4 linked regions of the Drosophila melanogaster genome follow. The gene in region 2 interacts genetically with the main gene of each other region. Each region holds a gene or a part of one and is shown on either strand. Other genes may lie near its edges. The genes, in order: fog, Ptp52F, Lar and Ptp10D.

What was found.
Region 1: of Ptp52F (region 2) and fog, changing one suppresses a phenotype caused by changing the other (phenotypic suppression), as found in Drosophila melanogaster (2 studies listed by BioGRID).
Region 3: of Ptp52F (region 2) and Lar, changing one suppresses a phenotype caused by changing the other (phenotypic suppression), as found in Drosophila melanogaster (one study listed by BioGRID).
Region 4: of Ptp52F (region 2) and Ptp10D, changing one enhances a phenotype caused by changing the other (phenotypic enhancement), as found in Drosophila melanogaster (one study listed by BioGRID).

The regions. Positions count from the first base shown.
Region 1 is NC_004354.4:22,852,176-22,857,000, forward strand, and holds the start of fog (folded gastrulation), read right to left. Parts: upstream 3,020-4,825; 5' UTR 2,868-3,019; exon of another isoform or gene 1,632-2,867; intron 1-1,631. UniProt on the Drosophila melanogaster protein: Coordinates cell shape changes during formation of the ventral furrow and invagination of the posterior midgut primordium, by inducing apical constriction of cells in spatially and temporally defined manners.
Region 2 is NT_033778.4:16,172,260-16,179,847, reverse strand, and holds the start of Ptp52F (protein tyrosine phosphatase 52F), read left to right. Parts: upstream 1-1,540; 5' UTR 1,541-1,676; intron 1,677-3,173; 5' UTR 3,174-3,194; coding exon 3,195-3,327; intron 3,328-3,479; coding exon 3,480-3,615; intron 3,616-3,676; coding exon 3,677-3,789; intron 3,790-3,849; coding exon 3,850-4,362; intron 4,363-4,426; coding exon 4,427-4,579; intron 4,580-4,644; coding exon 4,645-4,932; intron 4,933-4,996; coding exon 4,997-5,307; intron 5,308-5,381; coding exon 5,382-5,550; intron 5,551-5,617; coding exon 5,618-5,740; intron 5,741-5,805; coding exon 5,806-6,123; intron 6,124-6,196; coding exon 6,197-6,538; intron 6,539-6,607; coding exon 6,608-7,211; intron 7,212-7,270; coding exon 7,271-7,470; intron 7,471-7,531; coding exon 7,532-7,588.
Region 3 is NT_033779.5:19,604,929-19,609,616, reverse strand, and holds the start of Lar (Leukocyte-antigen-related-like), read right to left. Parts: upstream 3,049-4,688; 5' UTR 2,536-3,048; intron 1-2,535. UniProt on the Drosophila melanogaster protein: Possible cell adhesion receptor. It possesses an intrinsic protein tyrosine phosphatase activity (PTPase). It controls motor axon guidance. In the developing eye, has a role in normal axonal targeting of the R7 photoreceptor, where it negatively regulates bdl.
Region 4 is NC_004354.4:11,620,059-11,625,044, reverse strand, and holds the start of Ptp10D (protein tyrosine phosphatase 10D), read right to left. Parts: upstream 3,031-4,986; 5' UTR 2,860-3,030; exon of another isoform or gene 2,688-2,859; intron 1,293-2,687; exon of another isoform or gene 1,216-1,292; 5' UTR 943-1,215; coding exon 829-942; intron 1-828.

The sequences.
Region 1 (4,825 bases), on a different chromosome or scaffold from region 2:
GAGGTCGTATATTGCCATCGGTTTTTGGTTTTCGGCTTTTGGGCCCTCAGGCACGTACTGCCCTATGGATCGACCGTTTAATGCTGTTTGCCCCGATGCAGCTGAATCAATTTTACCACGGCTGCATAGCCATGGGCACAAGGGACTCAAGAGCCTCGAAAATAATTTCGTGATAGATTCGTTTTTTTTTTCGGTTGCTGATTTCATTCCACGTTCCCGGGGGGGTATCAACATAGGCATAAATATATGTATGTCCGGAAGACAATAGCTGTATAGATAATTTGAATCGGATAATTATTTTAGGAGTTATGGCTGAGTGACGGCTATCTGATAGTCGAGGCAATCGAAGCGAACTCTATCTATATAGTATTCATACATATGTATGTATACGTACCATCACAATACCCGTAATTTAATTTTCGTGCCGTCTGTAACACTTTCTATTGCTGATAATGACTTTTGGAGCATTTTGCGGGCGTTTTGGAACTTGCACAAAAAACATTTTGTAATTCATGTCTGCGCAAAAACAAATAAAAGAACGAGTCCACGGAAAAATTTACTAAATACACACATAAATATGGCCATTTTTCTCAGTGTGCATGTCAACAATTTCCCAGTCACTTGAGTGCTTGGCCACCCTTCCAGCTCTTTATTTTTTGGACAGTCGGTTAAATGCAATTAACTTGGTTACACTTTCATGCGGGAATAAAATTTTGGTACCGAAATTCGTTCATGGTTTGCTTTTAGTTTTCCATTTTAAGCCGCAATATATTTTGCGTCCAGCGGAAGTGATCACTTTGCCACATTGGCGCTGATAGTCACCGCGTGACTTCATCGGCATTATCATCATCATGTCCATTACCAGCGAACTCATGGAACTCACCTCTGTAAACATAATCGTGAACTCACTTGTTTGGCAAATGTTTGAGAGCGAACCCCGATAAGACACCTAATGCGCCTCGAATTGGTGTAGTTCGATTGTTTTGGTTGCATGATGACACTAAGGTCAGTTGTCATCCATTGTGGTCACGTCGTGAAATTGGTTTTTGCAATAACTAGTAAGGCGCTTGACCAGATTGAGAAATGTGCACGTGTCTATTGTTGTTCAAGAAGTGATTAAAAATGCTTTTAATATTTATCAGTTCGCTTTTAGGGAAACTATACCTACTCGTCAGTCAATGGCATGAGCCCAAACATATTCATGCTGAATCCATTTGGACGCGTAATAGCTACTTCGAAAAGCATTAGACTAAATACCTCCCGATTTGGTCATTTAAGATCTCAAGAGCCAGCTCTGTATCTGCAGAATGGCTAGATTTCCCACATCCGCAGAGTCAGAAGGTCAGCATCGGGCGTGAGACCGGAAAAACCGCTAGGATAAGCCCACGAAAACGAGACATCCTGATACCCAGGAAATAATGAAGCAGGATAATAAGGAGTACCAGAAACGAGATACTGTGGGTTTCGAATCTGTTATCCAAATTTTCTGGGCTGTATACATTTCGCTGGCTTCCTTTCAATTTAATTTGCATTAAGAAACAAGTTTCGCAGCGCAAAGTAATAATGGGTTATTCGATGGGCATTATAAAACACACATAAACGTTAAATAAAAATACATACAATCCACTTACTTTTGCTGTTTTATATCCCAAAACAAAGATGCCGAAGAAGGTGCGCTGCTTTTGCTTTTAGTTGCTTCTTCTTTGTCTTTTCCCCACTTTTGTTTTTCTTTGATTGTGGGTTAATATCAAGTTGTTGTAAAAATAAATTAGCATACAAATAAATAATAAACACCACAAATTGGCTCGTTTTGAATTTCGATTTGATGGCGGTTGAGCTTAATTTTTTGTTTGGTTTATTAAGAATTTTATATGTATGTGTTGATTGGCTTGCTGGTAAGAGCCAGTTCAAACTTGTAAGATACTAAATTTTTTTCAGTTGCTTAAAGTTTTCCCGTCGCTGGCTGCCTTTCATTTTTCGCTGCAGTTGTTAGGCTCATTAGGACAACACGGTTTTGTATTCGATTTTGTTGATTTATCTATTTTATTTCTCCAACTGTATCACATGTATTATCATATAATTCACAAAGACTTTTGCGCACACGAAAAAAAAACACACTACAACAAATCGACTTCAAAAGGTATCAATGGTAACATCCTGTTTGGGAAAAACGAAAGAGAATTATTTTGTATGCAACATTGAGTGCAATTCAAAAATAATGCCTACATGTGCACCGAAAATAGCTTAAGATTGTGAAATATTGTAGATATTTAATATATATCATTGTGAAATAACGTTAACTAAATATTTATAACTCAAAGCTAAGCTTCAAATTATGGTTGGTACTAGTATTTTAAAGTTGATCTCGGGTTTTTCAGTAGGCGAATCTATATGTACGGCGCACATATATTTTTAAGATTATAAATTATCGGACGCCTGTTGCTGTAAAGACAACAACAAGTACAACGACAACTGTTTCACAATGTAGTATAAACACAAAAGCGTAGTATATTTATACATGCCTCGTAGTATGTATTTTATTTTATTCTACTTTATTTTCACTTCGTTCGTTCTCTCTTTCCTGTTTCCTTTTACAGATAAGCATTCGAATGTTTTTTTGTTTTGTTTTAGTTTAGGTTCTTGTTCAAATTCAAATTAAAATCGGGTCAAATTTAGATAAAATAAAAGCACACGAAGAAACGTTTTTAAGGGACACAATCAGAAGATATTTATGTATATTACAAATTTATATTCCCATGTTACTATTTGCTTTTAAGTTATATGCGCCACGTTTTGACCGATTGCACATGTCTCTTAAATATCGAATTTATGTTACAAATTCAATCGAAATGATAGTGTTACTTTACTTTTTTCATTTGCTACTATTGTTGGTGATTTTTATCCGCTTTCTTCCCCCCTCATTTCTTTTAAGTTTTTTTTTTTGAAGAGACTGTAGCGGGCGGACAAGAGAACACGCACCGTTACCGATCACGTTCACAGTTGTTTTTTGAATGAGAAGCGGCTTCGAAACGTGTCGTCGCAGGCGTCGACGTCGGCGCCGCAGTCGCTGCGACAGACAGAGAGTGGTCAGATATAAATATACATGTACTGTATATATGTATATGTACGCGCGTTCGACAATGATCTTAGCCGAGAGAAAAGAGCCGATGCGCGGCATTAGGGAACTCTTTTCAAAGAGCGCGCTGAAGCCGCGCTCAGTTTTCATTGCTCTTAAGTTGCAACTGCACAAAGAAATCATTTTGCTGTTTTGATCGTGCATTGTTTTGAGTATGTATGTCATTAATTTAAAACAAGAGAGAACGCTATAGTCGAGTTCCCCGACTATCAGATACCCGTTATTCAGCAAGTCCAAGTGGGACGAGACTTTTCAACATTTTTCACGAACATTAGTAGAAATTGGTGGGAAAAAATTAATTTTAATTCTCTAAGGTCTGGGCAGGATATATTGGGCGGTTTAAGATAGCATATCTTCGGCATATCTATAAATTGGAAAAACAACTGGTTTAATACAAAAAAATTAAATCATTTCTCAAAAGTGTGGGAGTGTCAGTTTTGGTGCATTAGAGTGGGAATTTTTATCATATCGATAAAAATTAACAAGAGTCATAGAAATATGGAAAACTATCAAAACATTATGCAAAGGTGTGAGCGTGGCAGTTTTGGGAGGTTTGTGGGCGTGGCATCATGGGGAACAAACTTTCGCTGCGTCTAATGTCTCTAGAATCTAGCTTTTATATTTTCTGATATCTCGACGTTCATACGGACGGACAGACAGACGGACATGACCAGTTCGACTGGTCCTGATTGATCCTGATCACGATACATATATACACATGTACATATACAAGTACATGTACATATACATATACATATATGGTTGAAAACGCTTCCTTCTCCCTGTTACATTCTTTTTAACGAATCTAGTATACCCTTTTACTCTTCTCGACAATTCTCTTTTCTTTTTTGTTTTTCCCATACATGATTAACATTTTCTTCTGTTATGTTCTCTTGTTCTCAATTAGGGAGATGCTCTCTTTTGGCCGCCTGCAAAGGATGATTAATGATGTTCTCTGCTTTTAATTTTTTCTGAATGCTGCTAGTTGTTCAATTTAAAAAGGCAGTACGGCTCTTCCTGGTAATTTTCCGTTGGCTGTTTGTTTCTATTTACATATGTACTATGTATGTATGTATGTACCTTATTAAATAAAATTTTTATTTTCAATTTTGTCCGAGTTCGGTAGACCCCTACAGACACTACTAACATTCGGAAATATGTAAGGCTAACTGGAGTGGCCGGCTTAATAAAAATATCTCGGAAAAGCTGGAAAGTCGGAGATGGATTTCCTCGAAACCTAATTGAAGTTGATAGCAGTCATGGTTTTGTTCCCCGTCATCATCATTGGGCACTGAATCGCAAATCGCACTTCTTGGTAATTTTAGCCGCCACTTGAGCCTGTGCCGGTGTTTAGGCCAACATAATGGCCAATTAAGGCCACTTTGTCGTTTACAGCGTTTCAATTTCGATTTGATTAAGGTGAATTCCCTTTATTTTTTATGCAGTGATTCCGGCTAAAATTCATGAATAAAAGCAATTTTATGTAGATGATATAGATCATTACTTTAAAAAATAAATTTACAGAGTTAGCTTAGGGAACTAAAAATGACCACAACTAAACTAAGGGTATTTTGCCAAGTGTACGAATTGGGATCATCCCCATTTCCCTATTCTCTCATTCTTCGCCGTCTTCCCTTCGTATGGACTTATCGATGCGATGGTCAAGTGTGCGGGGCTCGTCTTCGGTCA
Region 2 (7,588 bases):
TTGCAGTGTCAGGAGCGCTTTCCACACATTCTGGGAAATCGCAACGGGTCTTGAATATCTAAAAGAATGCCGCAGCAAAAAAGCCCAAAACGGAAAACTGTAAAAAAAAAACAAAAACAACTACACAAGCACAACGAAGAAAATAAAACGAGATTTCTTGTGCATTGGCAGAACTGGTTTGCCCAGTAATAGGTGTTGTTGGCCTATGGGGGAACGGGAAGTACATATATGCAAGGAATCGGCCAGTTCGGGGACTCGACTTGGCTAAAAATCGATCAATTCTACTTTTGGCGAGGGGGAGGACTCCAAACATGCGCGAAAATCCACAGACATCGTCACTCGCACACACACACACACTCGCGCACGCACACCAACGCACTCGATGTGTCATCGCTTTCTGGTGGTTGTAAATAAAATGTAATCATAGTTCGTTTCTCCACTTATTTACTGATCGTCTTTTTGTTCAACACACTACTTTTTTTGTGCATAATTTGCATAACTCTTTCGCTTGTTTTTTCATTCTCTTTTCAATAACAAACACAATAACAACAACAGTTTGAACGAAAATACTGTTACGACGGCCATCTTGGATAGAGAGAGGGGGCCAAGAGAAAGAAATGTCCCAAAGGCAATATGCATAATGGGGAAAAAGGACAAATATCCAAGCGCACATATAGTATATTATATTTTCCGACTCCAACCGACATGCTTGGTACATAATGCGCGAACTAACACTTTGCCATTGGCAGTTTTGTACATATGACGTTTTTTTTTCTTCATTTCTCCCAATAGCCCATTACACGGGTTGGTTGCGAAAAATCCATTTTGCTTGGGTGTTCTATTTACAACGCGGCGACTCGGTGTTTGTTCTTATTATGCAGCGAACGTTACTTACAACAATTTAGTATTTCATATATTTATAATTACGCTTATTTATTTATGTTTAATCGAAATATACGAAAAGAATTACGCAGAAAAGTGACGAGCGGACGAAAATGCTTCGATTAGTGTGACCGCAGTGGAAGCAGCTCAAAAAACATCACGGGACTATCGATGACAGCGATTAGCTATCGATGTGACTAGGAATGTAGAAAAATGTTAATAAAAATATGTATAATAACTTCTAAATACTTTTTATATCTTATATAAGACCTAAGGACTGAAACCATTGAGTAAAGAACGAGTTGCCATAACTTAAGCCCTACTTCCATGCAAGCGCAGTGTGAACAGCTTAAAAAATTGGCGCGCTATTTAAAATGCTGATAAGGAAATGGACCTTCGTCAGCTTTTTTTTTGCGGAACCACAACGCCTATCCGTGAGTGAACAAAATGGGTTTCCAATTATTTATGCCATATAAGTATTGCTATTTATTTATAACACATCCCAATTCGATAGTCAACACTGCAGTTTGCTAATTGTAAACCGACTTTGTTGTTATCTTACACACACATTCGCGATGGGAGTAAACTTTCCTTATCACCGCTCACACAGCGCCAGAACACAACACAACCGATTTATGGAGTGCTCCCTTTGGCGCTCAGTATTCGAGAATCGCTCAGCGGAAACGGTTATTAGTTTACTGATTTTCGGGCGACACACACACATTCGTTATTCATAGTTGGTGCGCCCAAATATTCGCGAAACAGCAACAACAATTAGCAACCATCTGTCACCTGTGAGTGCAGCGTATCGTACACAATCTCAATCGCTCATTGGGAAAATTGCCGAATAATGTAAATCATTTGCCAAATTTGGGCACTCGTTGTGTGTTATCAGTGTTTGAGATTTAATCAGCCATTTTGTACGCATTACATTATATCGATATAGCCGCTATATCAGCCAATTCTATGGCTCTATAGATATATGTTAAATATGATTCAGTTTAGCAATGCTTGCTAATCCTGCGGTAGCCGATCCTCTTGGCCACATTAGCGTTTAACTGGCGAAATCGAAAGCCATTTATGAGCCAGCACCGTATGGCTGTTATCAGACCGACAACTCTGATGATTATATGCCGATGATAAAGGCCGCTTGTTCGTTTGTAAACGTTAAATTGTTATTATTGGCTTACTTGGTGTTTTGGAAAACCTCGGCGCGCTGCGATTTGTTTAAACAATCGGGCACAGACATTGGCAAATTGTCAACGTTCCATTGCCACACTTTCTGATAACCAAACCCATTAATAATGATCGGAAAGTGTCATTTTTTTTATTTGCTCCAAAGAAGAGCTGTCTTCTTCGCTTGCTTCCGTTGCCGGCAGCGACAACTGAAATTAGTAATTAGTGCTGCCAATTTGAGGGTACGGAATTCTTTCGATTAGCAAGCTCTTCGATGACGCACTCAGCATATCGGCAATATAGTCTATATATCTATATCTATATATCTATTGCTATACCCATTCCATTTGCGACTGCGTGATGGGATTGCAAACAGAGCCGCGATTCGAATTCGAGGATCGTCGTCGGCGATTCTCTGCGATTTTAGCGAATCTGTCGTTAATTTTGTTCGATTATTATTGGGTTGTCCAACAAGCCAGATTACTATCTGTATCTATATCTGCTGGCCACTTCTCCAGCCTGTGAAGTGGCTTGATAAGATTCTAGGGATCCAAAAAATCCAACAAAAAATTCAGAGAATATTGCGACATGACATTGCTGGAGTTTCCAACTTCATTCTCATGAATTTCCGCCGCATTAAAAGGCTTTGGGTGTAAGCCACGACATTGAGATAACCCCCTTTTTATTTTTTTTTTTTGGTATCTCGACCATTTCGTTTATTTTTTTACATTTTCCACTTACGTGTGGTATTTGTGAAATGATCATAAATCGCTCGCTGGAAGTTGTATGTATTACATTTAATTTTTGTTGCGCTGGTCAGCAACTCGGGGAGATCCAGAATCGTTTCCCACATCGCGAGATATGCAAAAGTTCGGCGGCCACTAATTGTTTATGACCAATCACCTTTCGTTTGCCCACGTCCAGTGAACTCTTATTTGTTGTGTTTTGTGTTTATAAACAAATGAACAGTGTGCATGCGAGCCAAGTGCTTTGCAATTGGGCGAGGTTAATGCTTCGCGGAAAATCCCGCGCAGGAACCGGTTGCATTAGCTCCCCGCCGATAACAATTTGTTATTAATAATTAATAACGCATCATTACTCACCGCAAAAAGCAGCAGAAGCAATGAGGCCCTAAGATGGAAGCCACAAATTGGAAGCAATCGCATCGAAGGATTCACGCACTAATCCTTATCCTTTGGATCGCTGGGGTGCAAGGACAAACCGTTGGTTCCCTGGTGGCAGTGAGTGAGAGCCAGGAACTGGCGGAGAGTAAGTATTACTCTTTGAAAAATAAGCATATGGATGTCACTGATAATATGATATTAATATAAGATACACTGATATAAGATACTTTTCAAATCCTAAGTGCATCCAGTTTTGTTTTAGCCTATAAAAAGCTATATGTATTACCAATATTCCAGAGGTGGAGGTGACTGTGGTTTCTACGGTCTACACACTCGGCTTTAGCATCTCCAACGAGGCGGACTACTCCATCGATAAGGTGATCTGTCGCAATGGATCCGGATCGGAAACCGAGGCCAACGCAGCGCACGTTTGGTTCGTAGAATGTTTTGAGTGAAATGATATCGCGGACTAACATAATGCCTATGATTTCCAGTGAAAACCTTAATCCTTGCACCTTCTACACATCGGTGGTTTCATTCCGTTCGAATGTCTCCGGCAAACCACCGCCTTCTGACCAAACCATCTATGCCTACACTGAATATAAGCGTATGTTTATATAAAAATGCTAACTATGAAAACCATAAACCATATCATCTTTAATCGCAGAGCCCAAGACCACAGTGACCTCAGTGGTGGCCACAGCGAACACCATCAAAGTGACCTGGCAGACGAACGACCGCGCCTGTGTGGAGTCCTTTGGCATCACGGCAAAGGCGACGGACTACACCAAATCCTTTCAGCTGCTAAACGATAAAAGTTCTCAGACTTTCGTGAATTTAAGCGCCTGCCTAACGCACACGATCACCCTGGACACGCGAAACAACGCTAGCGTTGTGGTGGACACGGATGCCACCGATGTGGACACACAGTACGCGGAGCCCGGCGATCTCGTCATGAACGTAACGAACCTAGCCAGTGGCATCACGATGATCACGTGGGGAGATCCCTCCGAGAAGAACTGCATCAGTAACTATGTCTTCAAGTGGCAACGCAACGATTGCGGAACGGATCAAAATCAGGATACCACCACGGATGTGCCCAGTACGGAAACTACGAACGAGATTGACTACGTTACCACCACACCAATGGAGACCACACCCGATACGCCCAGTGATGAAGGTAGACTCTAGGTTCCTCTTATAACCTCTTTTGAAATACATATGTGTTTTATTCTTCCCATCAGTTAAGTGCGAGTGGACCGATGTCTCCTCCGATGGCAAGCTGAGGGAGTACCTCCTGACCGATCTTCAAGGATGTGATTTGTACACCTTTCAGGTTTTCATCAACGAGAACAGCACGGCCAAGGCTTCTCAGACTTTTACTTCGGCAGAAAAGTGTGAGTGCAACTAGATAGACCAGCTATCCAAGTAAACCATAAATCACCATAATTCAAATGTTTAGTGGTCAGTGCCGTCTATGAACCCAGTCCCACCGCCTATCCCACCCAGTTGCATTGGACTTGGTTCTCTCCACAAAATCATCCCAAATGTGTGGCTAACTATAGTGTAACGCTGACCGGACCCATTCAACGATCGGAAAACAAAACTATGAATGTGATCACAGAGGAGACATTCGCTATCTTCGACGACCTTGATCCGTGTGGAATATATTTGGTGGAGATTGTGCCCAATCAGCTAAATGGAAGCGCTGGCACCAAGTACCAGGAGCAGAGCACCGTGGGCGAGGATCGTGAGTGCAAGTGCGCTTCAACTCATCCAACATCTATCTATCTACTATGATTATCTTCTTGTAGAGCCATCTGTGATTCAAGATCCCGTCGTGGAAGCAGAAGCCTACTCGATGGAGGTGAGCTGGAAGACGCCCGAGTACGCCGATCTCTGCATCGATGGCTACCGATTGTCCGGCTGGATGGAGGACGATAAGCTGGTTGAGGTTGAAGCACTTAGTATTACCACCCAGAATACGACGGTTGTTTTCGACAAGAATCTGCTGGCCTGTCAGGTGTACATCATTCAGATAATCCCATACACCAAGGAGAACCTCGATGGTCAGCTGAGACAGGTTGGTGTGGAGACCAAAGCAGCTATAGTTGATTACACTAAGGTACTAAGGACTATTTTACGTATATTTCGTATCCATTTGACCATTTCTTACTGACTGCAAGCATTTTATTGAAGGTCAAGCTGGAAATGAAGAATGCTGGCTCCGAATTTATTGATTTAATCGCCTTCAATGCGGACTACAACAATTCCTGTCCGACGATCTTTGCGCTCTTCACGTGCAATGCCACCACCCAGGTGCGAAATCCATACGCGGAGCGTTATGTGGAGGGACATAGCAAACAAGGTGGGTGTACTGGTCATCCAGTCATTCGGTATCCAGATGGCTATTCTAATTCATATTCCATTCTCAGGTTTTAATGCCAGTCTAAGTCCACTTTCCCCCTACGCCACCTACGTTTGCAAAGTAATACTCTACAATGTGGCAGGACCTTCCGAACCAGTTGTCGATGCTGATATGCACACCACAACCTACTGTAAGACCTACATTATATACATATGTATATATGAAGTTCATATGTAAGTTGATCTGTGTTTTCAGTTCCCGAGCAGCCGGAGAGTGTGATGCTGGAGAAGAGCACTGTCAGCAGCCTGCTGTTCAACTGGCAACCGCCCACCTACACAAACGGACCCATCAAGTACTACCAGGCATTCCTGATGCGTCACGAGGCCAGCTACTTTGTGCCCGCGGATTGCGCGATAGTCGAGCAGGACACCAAGTCGGAGACCAAGGGTGATCCTAGTGTAAACTTCACGGGTCTGGCTCCAGCTGTGCGATACATGATGCAAGTTGCGGCACAAAATGACTTCGGAATGGGCGTCTATACAGAACCCGTAATTGGTATCACTTTGCCAGCAGGTGAGTTAAGATGAATAGATGGAATATCTTTATATGAGTAATATGAGTAATGTAAATATTTCGTATCTTGTAGTATCCGATAGCGTGACCCAGTTGACCGTACTAACCCAGGGTCCGGTGAACAATAACGCCGTGTACGAAGCGAACGTGACTATCACGTGGAAGGTGCCCTGCAAGTCCAATGGCGATATCGAGTATTTCCAGCTGGCTTTCAATGGCACACGAAATAACTTCGCTCCAGTTTCATTTGAACGGCGGGTGGAACTGGACACGGGGAATAAGCAGGGACGGATGTCCTACACGGAAACGGAAATGCAGCCACAGTTCGACTATACGGTTGAGGTGTCCGTAAAGAATCGCGATGTGGAACAGTTGAGCAGCAGTGTACCGGGTAGCTGGCAATCGCCAGCGGGACGTAAGTATCGAAATAACGGAAAAGTAATCCGTAATCCATTGATTCCCATTCGTGTATCTTCTCTTTCAGTGCCCACCATTCCGAGTGATGAGCTTATCAAGCAAATGCGCGCCAATGTCGAGGAGACATCTAATCCAACGAAAACGGCCATTGTTCGCCTTCCAGCCGACATCATGACATCCGCATCCGGCGACATCAAGTGGATGGCACTGATGATCTCGCAAAAGAACTGTGCTGGAGTTCCACACCTCAAATACGATGTCAGCAGCGATTGGCCAAAGGTTCTATCCTATCAAGAGGCCGGCGCAGATGGCACAGGTGACTGCAGTCTGGAGTACCAAACCACCGAGGAGCGCTGGCATCCCGAACCCGTTCAACGTCAGCGAAGGGATGGAGAGGTGACATCCGATGAGGAAATTGTTTTTACCATCGGATTGGACAAGTGTTCGGAGGTTCAGAAAACGTATTGCAATGGACCTTTGTTACCAGACACGGATTACAATGTTGTGGTGAGACTGTTCACCGCATCTGGTTATAGCGATGCCGCCGTACTCAACTTTAAGACCAAGGCGGCCATCAAGGTGACCCTGATCCTGGTGAGCGTTTGCAGTTGCCTGCTGCTGGCCTTCGTACTTGGTTTGACGGTTCTCTGGGTGCGCAAGCGATTGGCCTGGTAAGTCAACGATGGCAATCTTCACGAGAGAAAAAAGAACTTAACTTCGTTTGGTGCAGGAAACGTGATTCTGGTCAGGGTATCGAGGATCCATTTGGCAATGTCATTGCCAAGAACTTTGCCATCTTTTATACCGAAGTTGCCAAGCCGGAGAAACTGGCCAGGGAGTTCAAGGAGATCACCGTTGTGGCCTTGGAGCTCAGCTATTCCGCCTCCGAATTGGGTTGCCACAAGAATCGCTATGCGGACATATTTCCTTGTGAGTAACTTCAATGTAGCAATAACCATTATGGGAAACCACATTTTTTCCCATTTAATAGATGACAAGAATCGCGTGATTCTGGACATCGATGCGGAGGGATCGGACTACATCAATG
Region 3 (4,688 bases), on a different chromosome or scaffold from region 2:
AAATCACGAGAATCACGACTGCAGGTAGGTCCGTGGCATATGTACGTATGCATGTTTTTGCGTCCATCTCCGTATATATATATATATATGTATGTATGTATGTATATGTATGCACTTGTAAAAATCAATTAAACTTTTCAAGTGAAGTTATAATGGCTGGCAACCCTTTCGAGCACTCACACTCATTTTTCTGCTTGATTTTTTGCGGACTTTCGACTTTCCCCTACATACATACATACACATATATTGTTTTTGTTGCCTCTGGCTGTTCAGTCAGTTTCTTATTGTTTTCATAGCCTTGCAACGCCTTGTTGTTGCAGTTGTCAAAAGTTTTAAAATAATTGGATTTTTTTCGGTCTCCATGTGCGAACGAGTGAGTGAGTGAGAGCACTGTGAGCACAGAACACGAACATCGGAATGTCGACGACTGCAGCCGAAAAAAAGGAGAGAGAGAGGTGGTGGAAAATGGAGGTATTGCCGCCCCCAAACTCATTCTATATAAATTAAAATTTCTTTGTTGCAAACCCCTTCGCGTTCACACACACACACACACCGACATCCAGACACAGGAGGGTACTTAATGCAGGATTGCTGCAGTCATCCAACCAACGCCATCATCACGAGTATTACCCAATTTCCAGCTGAAGTTTTCAACACCAAATTGTAAACGTCAACAACAAGCGGCGAAAAAGAAGAGTGGGCGTGGCCGATCAGCCGCCTTTATATAGCCAACGATGGCATGACGAACGAATGGTAAAACGCTGTTTGAACAGTGAGAATGGAAGGTGGGGGGGGGGGGGGTGCCCATTGAAGTACTAGTCCTTTTGCTTTGGCTCCAACTGAGGCCCATAGGGCTAATGGGAGTGGGGATAGTTCGAGTCGCTGTGAAATGCAAAGAGCAAATTAAGCCCCCTCTCATTTATCAATATCAATCCATCCATCTATATATATATATATATCTAGCTACTGTTTTCATTCAATAGGAGCAACCACATGTTAATATAATAAACAAGTTACATAGTAATTTCAACTTGGTCAGCACCTAATTAACCCCAAGCCCTGCGAACGATGTATCAAGCGATATAATTTCAATTAGGCTAATGTAAGCCATAGAATAGCCTATAGTTTTTAACAACCATATCCTACGATTTTCGATTCTGTTTCTGCCAAAGAAAGTAGCCCTTACCACTTGTGAAGCCTACTTTGGGTATTCGTTATACATGGCGTATGCGTATTATTTTACACTGGCGCAGAAAAAACGTTTTTGTTTCAAACCTCATTTCAAGTTTGGATCGAAAAAGGAATGAAAGGAAAAATTTTTACTTCGCCCCTTCGTCGGCAATTTTTCTCCTTTCTGCTTCTGCTTCTAATAAAAACACTTGACACCAAAAACGAGGAAAGTTCCTTGAGGCAAGTGGTGAAAGACATTTTAGGTTGAGTTGTGTTGTACGAGTTTCTACAACGAAAATATTAAATACTTGTCAAAACACTTGGAAAGGCTTTTTTTCAGAATATTTACTTTTATAAGTTTTATTGAGAATTTACTCAAAAATAATATTTTATACTAGAGAATTGAGCAGAAGGCTCTGAATAAGGAACTCGCTTGAAAATATTGAATAGCAGATAATGTCAATTGAAAAATGCTTCATTTTGAGAACAGCTTTAAGCATTAGTAAACATTTTGGCTTTAAAACAACCTATATATATAGAATCTTATTTAGCTTTGCAAGGCCAGGCCAAACTTAAATTTTCTTGAGCTCTTGCCAAGAACTTCCCATTACTTGCCGAGGACATAACTATGTCAATCTGCAGACCCACACTCACACAGGACACACACTGCAGTCCTTTTTTCGCCTTAGCTGAAAATCACTTCGCAGCTGGTCCTAAAACGATTTTAGGCCGCTCCAATCACAAACACACACTCTCGGCACACCCGAATCGGAAGGCAGCGAAAACATCAGCCACAACAATCCTTGCAGGACGCAGCGTTATTTTCGCACCAAACTGCAGGAAACCCCGCCAGGACCTCAATCGAAAAAGAACTGTGAAAAATTGCCAACCGTTTCGCTTTGAGGCCAAAAGGAGCGGGCCGAAAAAAGAGCTGCTCGCTCGTAAAACTGCAAATGAAAATAGATAAAAAGTATCTGTCGTCCCAACCAGTAAACTTCATTTTGTAAATCAATTGAATTTTCAATTGTGTGCGAGCAAACTAAACCAAACCAAACCAAACCACGACGAAACGACGGAGCACAAAAAGAAAAAGTAGGTAAACATAAAAGGACAAATAAAGGAAACGACACTATTACGGAAGAAAGGATGGGGAGACCGAAGGAATCCCCTTCTCCCCGGGGCAATCGTTTCAATCTCCATCTCGAGCAGCGGCACAGGATTGCCGTTTCTTATTAGCAGGGCCAGGACGATAAGGATAAAGTCCATATATATATCGATATTCATAAGGAAATTCCAGGTCACACGCACACACCACACACCAGGCTTCTGATAATTTTCAGAGTTTGTTTTCTCTTTAGATTTTACCGATTTATCCGCCAGGTATTATCGGCTACGTCAGTTGTTCTTCGGTAATTATGTTTCGCGGAAGTTCCTCGCCTGCAACTCGGATGGTGTAATTATGGGAATAATTTTTTAACCGGCTTGCGGCAAAACACGTTCACAAAAACAAGTGCACACATATGTACGAGTACAGCGGCAACAACGAGTTAATGGAGAAAGGGTTGAAGGGGGTTGAACCGAGGCAAGCCGAGGAGTTCGACGATTTGGTTTTTGGTTAACTTGGCTAAAATCACTTTGCCGGATTTTCGAAATGCTGCGGCTCTTTGCTATTGCATTATAACCGAGTACGATCTGTGGTTATGTTATATCACTCGAAATTGGATTCAAACGATTCGTTGGATTTTTTGCGAATTTTGTGTAATATACAATTTGCTGTCGCGCTGCTTGTTGCCCGATTATCGCACACACACGGCTGAGAAGGACGCGCTCTGTTTCTTACACGCTCGTTACATCCTGCCAAATCCCGAAATTGTACTAAATACGTACAAAACTTTTACGATTGGCTAAGGCTGCTAGCAGCAATGCTCGTGTTTTCCTCGCGTTCAGTGTGTGCGTTTGTGAGTCGCCACTCGACCCGAAGAGTCCTTCAGCGTGCCCGAGGATGCGCCGACCGAGCGCCGAGTGTGGTGGATTTTTCCGGAGAGCGGAAAAGCCGAGAAATTCGCCAGCCGAAGCTGCGAGCGATGGAAGAGAAACACCAAAGGATGGCTACTCAAAAGGAACTCACTTTGTACTCAGAACTCAATCGAATAGACAAACCATTCTGGGAAATGTTAAGAGCACACAAATCGGAGTGATTCTAAATAGCATTCAAAAATCACTCAGTTTAAAATGTTATGGAACAGTTGAGTGCAAGGAATATTTGATAAAATAACATAAAATAAATTTGAAAAAAATGTAAAATAAACTGAGAGGAATTACGAAACATCATTTTTAGCATGAGTTTCAAAAAATATTTTATATTTAATATAAAATTGGGATTTTCTTTAGCATTATAAAAATTATTATTTAATTCTTATAAATGTATGGGAATGGTAAATCCAGTTTACACTGCTCGCTCGATTCGAGCTAATTTATTTAACATTGAGATAATCACTGAGTGCTTTTATAGCAAAACCAGCAATGTTTCTCTTAGAGTGAAGTGCTTGCTGGGTAATAACATTTATAGCTCAACTAAAAAGGACTCGAATTGCAGACGCAAAGAGTACAGGCTTATATGAGAAATGTAAACGCATTTTAAATGCTCAAAGGCAACAAAACAGACTCACTCAATTTCGAGATTCGAGACCTGCGAGGCTTAGAACATGAAACCAAAGAGAAGCAAATCTGCGATTAAGGCAACTCAATCCTTCTCAGCAAGGACTTGCTCGAAGAGAGCCTGGTGAGATGGCTAAACGAGCTTTCGACGTGGGTGAATCGGAAAGGTTCGGCTTTTAGGCGCCGAGCCCGTCGACGAAGGTGAAAAGCGAATCGCGTCCACGAAAAGCCCGCCATTGACTTTGACCGTCGTTCGCCAGTCGTCAGTTTCAACTGGAGCGGCGGGCAGTAAGCTGAAATCGGCTGAAAGGACGAGCTGGCAGGATATTTCGCAGAAGGGCGAACCAGCGCAGTGCCGAGCAGGAAAAGGCGAGAAACGGCCTGTGCTAATTTTCCTGGCTAGCTAGATTTTTGGCGCGCTCCAGATTTAATCCTGCAGTCTAAGTGAATGTGAAATGTAACAAGCCAAGTGACAGTTACCAAAAGTCAGAAGACAAAAGGAAGGGAGGAAAGCTAAAAGGCAGAAAGCCACCGAACAGATGGAAACAACTCGCAGATGCTGATGTTCCTGCCCCAGGAGACATTTAACATAATAAAAACGAACGTGTGCGGCATTTTGTGTTGCCTTTTGGCCAAGTTAACTCCTGTTCCTGCATCTGTGTGTGTGTGTGTGTGTGTTCGTTACATGCTAATATCACAGACACTCGCCCGCGCACAACCCACACAAACTTACAAACAAACAATATTGCAAATGTGTGCGTGAGGCAGTTGGCCAAAGTGTCGTAAATCGTTTAGACAGCGCGACGTGGCCCAGAAAAAGGAGATGAGGGCCAAAAAACGATATGTAAACGACACAGCAG
Region 4 (4,986 bases), on a different chromosome or scaffold from region 2:
TGCATCACTCAGCTGAGTTGCACACATCGAGGAATCGGCAATGCAATTACTTATTATGCAACACAGCTCGAAGTATCAATTAAAAATGCCAGGCATGCAAAGTATTTAGACAAATTCCTTGAAACGAAAATATAACTATCTGTTAAGTTTGTTATATTTAATTATTCTGAGTGTACAGGGTATAAATATGTCATCATCTTCTGTTAAATGCATTCTACTTCATATCTGCACAGCACACGACTTGAGATGCAAAATGCAAAATCTTGTTCGGTTATTGTTTGTTACTCTTGCTTTTGTTTGTTGTTTCCTCAAGGTCTTTGATCGGATTGGAGTTTGTTTGTTGCTTTGTTTGTTTGTTTGTTTTTAGTACTGTGTCCAGTGAGGCAAATACATTCGCATAAACAATGGCGAAAAGCAAACACGATGCGAAATAATTGAATTTAATTAACATGGGAAAGACCACAGACAAAAGTGACGAAGACGATGATTTCCATGTGGGCGGTTTAATTCGAGGCGGGGGCGGGGTCGTCACAAATAAATAATTAAATAACTTCGGACAATGTTTGCAGAACCTTGTCGTTTCGATAGCCCTCGAATTTAGAAAGTTATTTGTGCACATTTCGAGGTTATTGTTGTTTATCATATCTTTTGAACTCCTATCTAATTTTGCATATTTCTCTTGTATTGATGTATCCTGAATAATTATTATTATTATCCTGAATAATCGTTTCTCCCAAGCTAAGATTCCGAAACGGGTAATTCGACGGGCCTATAAATCCACCCGCTATTGTGTGTTTTGGCCATGTTTTTGTTGGCCCTCTCGCTTACCTTTAGTGTAAATGCTGCCAGAAATGCTAAACTCCAGAGCCAGCGATGTTGTGGAACGGCTTTTTGCCTTTTGAGCCGGATTCTAGTAGTGGCTTTACTTAGCTGGTACAACATTTTGGGGCCGTCGTTTTGCTGTTTTCGTTGTTGTTTTCCTCTCCGCCTGGCTCTCTTTTGTTGCCTGCTTCTTGTTTTATTTGTTCCTATGTTGTTGTTGCTTTGGACTTTGCAATTTATTGTGCGATTTTTGAATTGGGCTTTTCGCTAGTTTCTTTCGAATTCGGGCATTTTTAGCGCGAGTTTAGTCTTTACTTTGATTAAATGCATTGTTTTCACAGTTTTCCCGTTAGTGTGGTGAAATTTTGTAAATTTTTATCCTGAATCCAATTGCTTGCAATTTGTTGGTTTAATTTGAATTGATTAAAACATATTCTTGTTTTGTTTTTGTTTGTTTTTTATTTTGTGATCTGCAAGAGAGTATGAATTAAAAATAACTGAAAGAGTGATCGCAAGAGGGAGACAGCTAGATAGTGCCGCTGTCCTGCTCTCTACCTGCTCTGCTTCCTCTTCTGCTTATCCAACACTTTGCGCTTGCGCCGAAAGCTTCAGTTCCTATTTTTTCATATTTTTCTGCGACTTGTTTCTATATTTCTGCACAGTGGAACTAGGCAAATGCAAATTTGATTGAACATTTGAGATTTAAAAACCACTGTTAAGACTTTGCTTAATAAATCAATATCAATTATTTTACTTATCTAGCAGTAAAGTATAATATTGAAATACCCGTTCTACTTAAGTTTTCATTCCTGGAACTGTGTGATTAAGCAATGCATTAAATTCATTTAAATCTAATTCGCAGACAAGTGCTAATTAATTGCACTGTCTTGTGCAGTTGCAAAAAAATACTGCTGATCAATAATTTAGCCTGCGCTGACGTCATTGAAATATTTAAAATATCGCAGCCAGCAAAAAAACCAAATAAATATGAAGAACAAATAAAACTAAACGTCTGAAAACCAGTTTTGCGAAATCAAAACGATACACGGCACAAAATTCAAATTGTATTGACAAGTATCATATCTTCTGGAAAATTAAAGATGTTGTCCTTGTATCTTTTGAATAGACTTGTAATGAATTGGTAATCCTGCTGTAGGACTAATTTAATTTAGGAGTTCCCTTTTAAGCTACTCTAATTTTGTTCTGTGTATGTTTTGTTATTGTTGCACTGTCTTGTTGTTGCTTTCTGCGCTTGGCAACGTTGTCATGCAGAAAAGACCTTCAACTTTGTTGCAAAGAGAGGAAGACAGAAGAAGAGCAGAGCAGATTGATTTGATTGATCTTTTTCCTTCTGGTCGAGAGAGAAGAGCAAGAGAGAGAGAGAGGGAGAGAGGGAGAGAGAGAGCTTTATGATCTCGGCACATAAAACACAAAAACAAAACAAGTTTTTAAAAACGTATTTCTTCACCTCTTATTTATTGTTAAATGTGGGACAAGTTTTTTTAATGCGACTGGAAATTTTTCGCAACTTATTGTCAGCATTAATAGAGATTTTATGAAACAAGCCAAAATGATCCCCCAAAATTGAATGCCGTCAGAGAAACAGGAAGTGGAGAAATTTGCCGCACAACAACAAAATATTCAAATGAGGCTGCGTGTGAAAGAGAGAAAGCAGCGGCATGCCAAAAAACGAAATAATACATAAAAAAGCTGCGTAGGTGTTGCTTCTACCTCTCTCGCTCTGTGTCTGTCTGCCCCCCTCGGCCAACATTTTTTGTTATTATTATTGCACACACATACACACACACACACAAACAACTCTCAATTTCTGCTTTTACTTTAAGCTTTATTTCAGCATTTCTTACGTTTTCCACTGCGTTTTTCTCAAATTTTGCTCATTCGGCACGCCACTAAAAAAAACCAAAACATTTAAATATATACACCGTTAATTTGTGTATTTTATTTACTTCTATTCTGTTGTTGTCGTTGGTTATAAAAAAAATAACAAAAAACAAACACAGGCGCACGCACACTTACACGTACACGCAGGCACGCGACGCAAAGCACAGACACAAGAAAAAAGCGGAACGGACAATCGACAAATTTTGCGTTTTTCGAGCGTTTGCTTTGCGGCCCGCCTTAACAGATTTCGCGTCCGTACCGTCCGCACTCCGGTTCGCTCTTCACCACACTGAATTGGAATCTGATTCAAATCGGATTCGAGTCCGGAGTCGAATTTGGAATCGGAATTGGAATCGGAATCGGAATCGCCAACGCTCGTTTCACCTGTAGAGCTGGACAAATAATCGATGACCCAGCGATGGTATCGATAGGAACCTGCGCGGCTTCTATGTTTCGCTTGTAACTGTCAACTATTTAAAAGCAGAATTAACCATTACTTTGCTGCGCGGTTATAAAATAGTTAAATACAATTAAATTTGTTGCACTTGATTCTTTTTAACGTGAACCAAGCATTGCGGCAGTAGTACTTCGGCCATTACAAGTCCGAGCTCCGTAATTCTTATTATTCAATTACTCACACAAAATGTTAGTCCAAATGGACATCTGAGCCATGGGCTTAGTGAGCCAAGGCGATAGGCTGTATATGTGTACCCAGACAGCATGCACAGCGAAATGTTAACAAAGAAAACATTTAATATTTTATTATTTATCCCGCGCAAAACCGATCTGACCAAACTCAAGGTGTTTTTTGTTTCCGAATGCAATCGATTATAATCGATAGTTCAAACTCACCTCTGAGGGGAGTTAATTCGCCGTTATTCGGCTGCAATGCGTGCGCGCAAGGCAGATATAATGTGGCGCGCATTTCAAATCAGCTTATAAAAAAGTGTAACATTCCAACTCCTGAAAATAGGAAGTAACTTCATTGATTGAAAACACTTCCATCTTCTTTTATATAATTTATTATTTATTAAGGTTTCATTTGCATGAACTGTTACTGGTTATTATAATTAATTATTGTTAATTACAGGCTATGTTTTAATTGCTAGAGATTAGCAAGTTCTAAAAATTACATTACACATTATTATTCTTATACAGAGTATACCTCTTGACATTTGACATTACAGTTAAAACTAAATTACTAAAAAAAAACAATTCAAACTTTCATTTTTATTTGGACATATAACAACGCAAGGAAAACAAACAAAAATTAAATGAAAGGATAAGCCAAAAGTGTTTAAAGAGCACAACTCGTTTGAACAAACACTGAACGATTCGCTGGGGAATTAGCATTGGACTTTTAATTTAATTACACACTAGACAAACCGAGTTATAATTAAAAATACAAACAAAAAATTGAGCTAAACGAAAAGTTAATAGCATATATGTATGCATACATTTATAGCTAGAGGAATTTCGCTATAAAACAAAAAATAACGAAACGTGTTCCCCCCCGCCTCCCGCCTTCTCTGCGCCCATCACCAACCGCCGTTCCCCCAAACCCCCCGAAACCACCCACCGCCTCATATTTACCACTAGAACCACTTGGCCGAAAAAAAAATCATATATTCCCTCCGATACGCCGGTGATAAGAACGCAACGCCAAGGACAATGGCAAAGGCTTTGATAACAGGTCGGAGCGAGATGGGAATATGTCTCGCTCCCTTTCTGTGAGTATTGAACTACAGCCAAACTTCGCTAGTACGAACTTCAAAAACACTTTGAAATTTCAACTTAATCATATTTTGTCCAGTAGACATTATAGAAGTGTAACATAGATCAATTAAAATGATTATATTGTATTTAGCGGATTGGATTTTGGATGACAAACTTTTTTTTTAATTTTGAACACATTTGTAATAACTACAAAGTTTATAAGGATATGGATTTGGGGTATGCTTATATGCTTTGTAAAGTTCCCAAAATTAAAACTGTTGAAAAATAAAGCTGCGCCTGGAAGTGTTTTTATAGATTACAAAGGGATATCGAAGGAGATTTGTGATATAAATATATATACATAAATATATATATATAAAAATAATATGCTATTCTTCATAAAATAAAAAACCTTTAATAAAGTCTCCAATTCTGAGACTGAAGAGTTTGACTTGGATTAGTTTGACTGTACATATGTAGTCCTCTTTCTTTCTTCGAGCGAGACGGCAAAACTAAAAGCGAGCGTTTAATTTCCATCGATTGCAA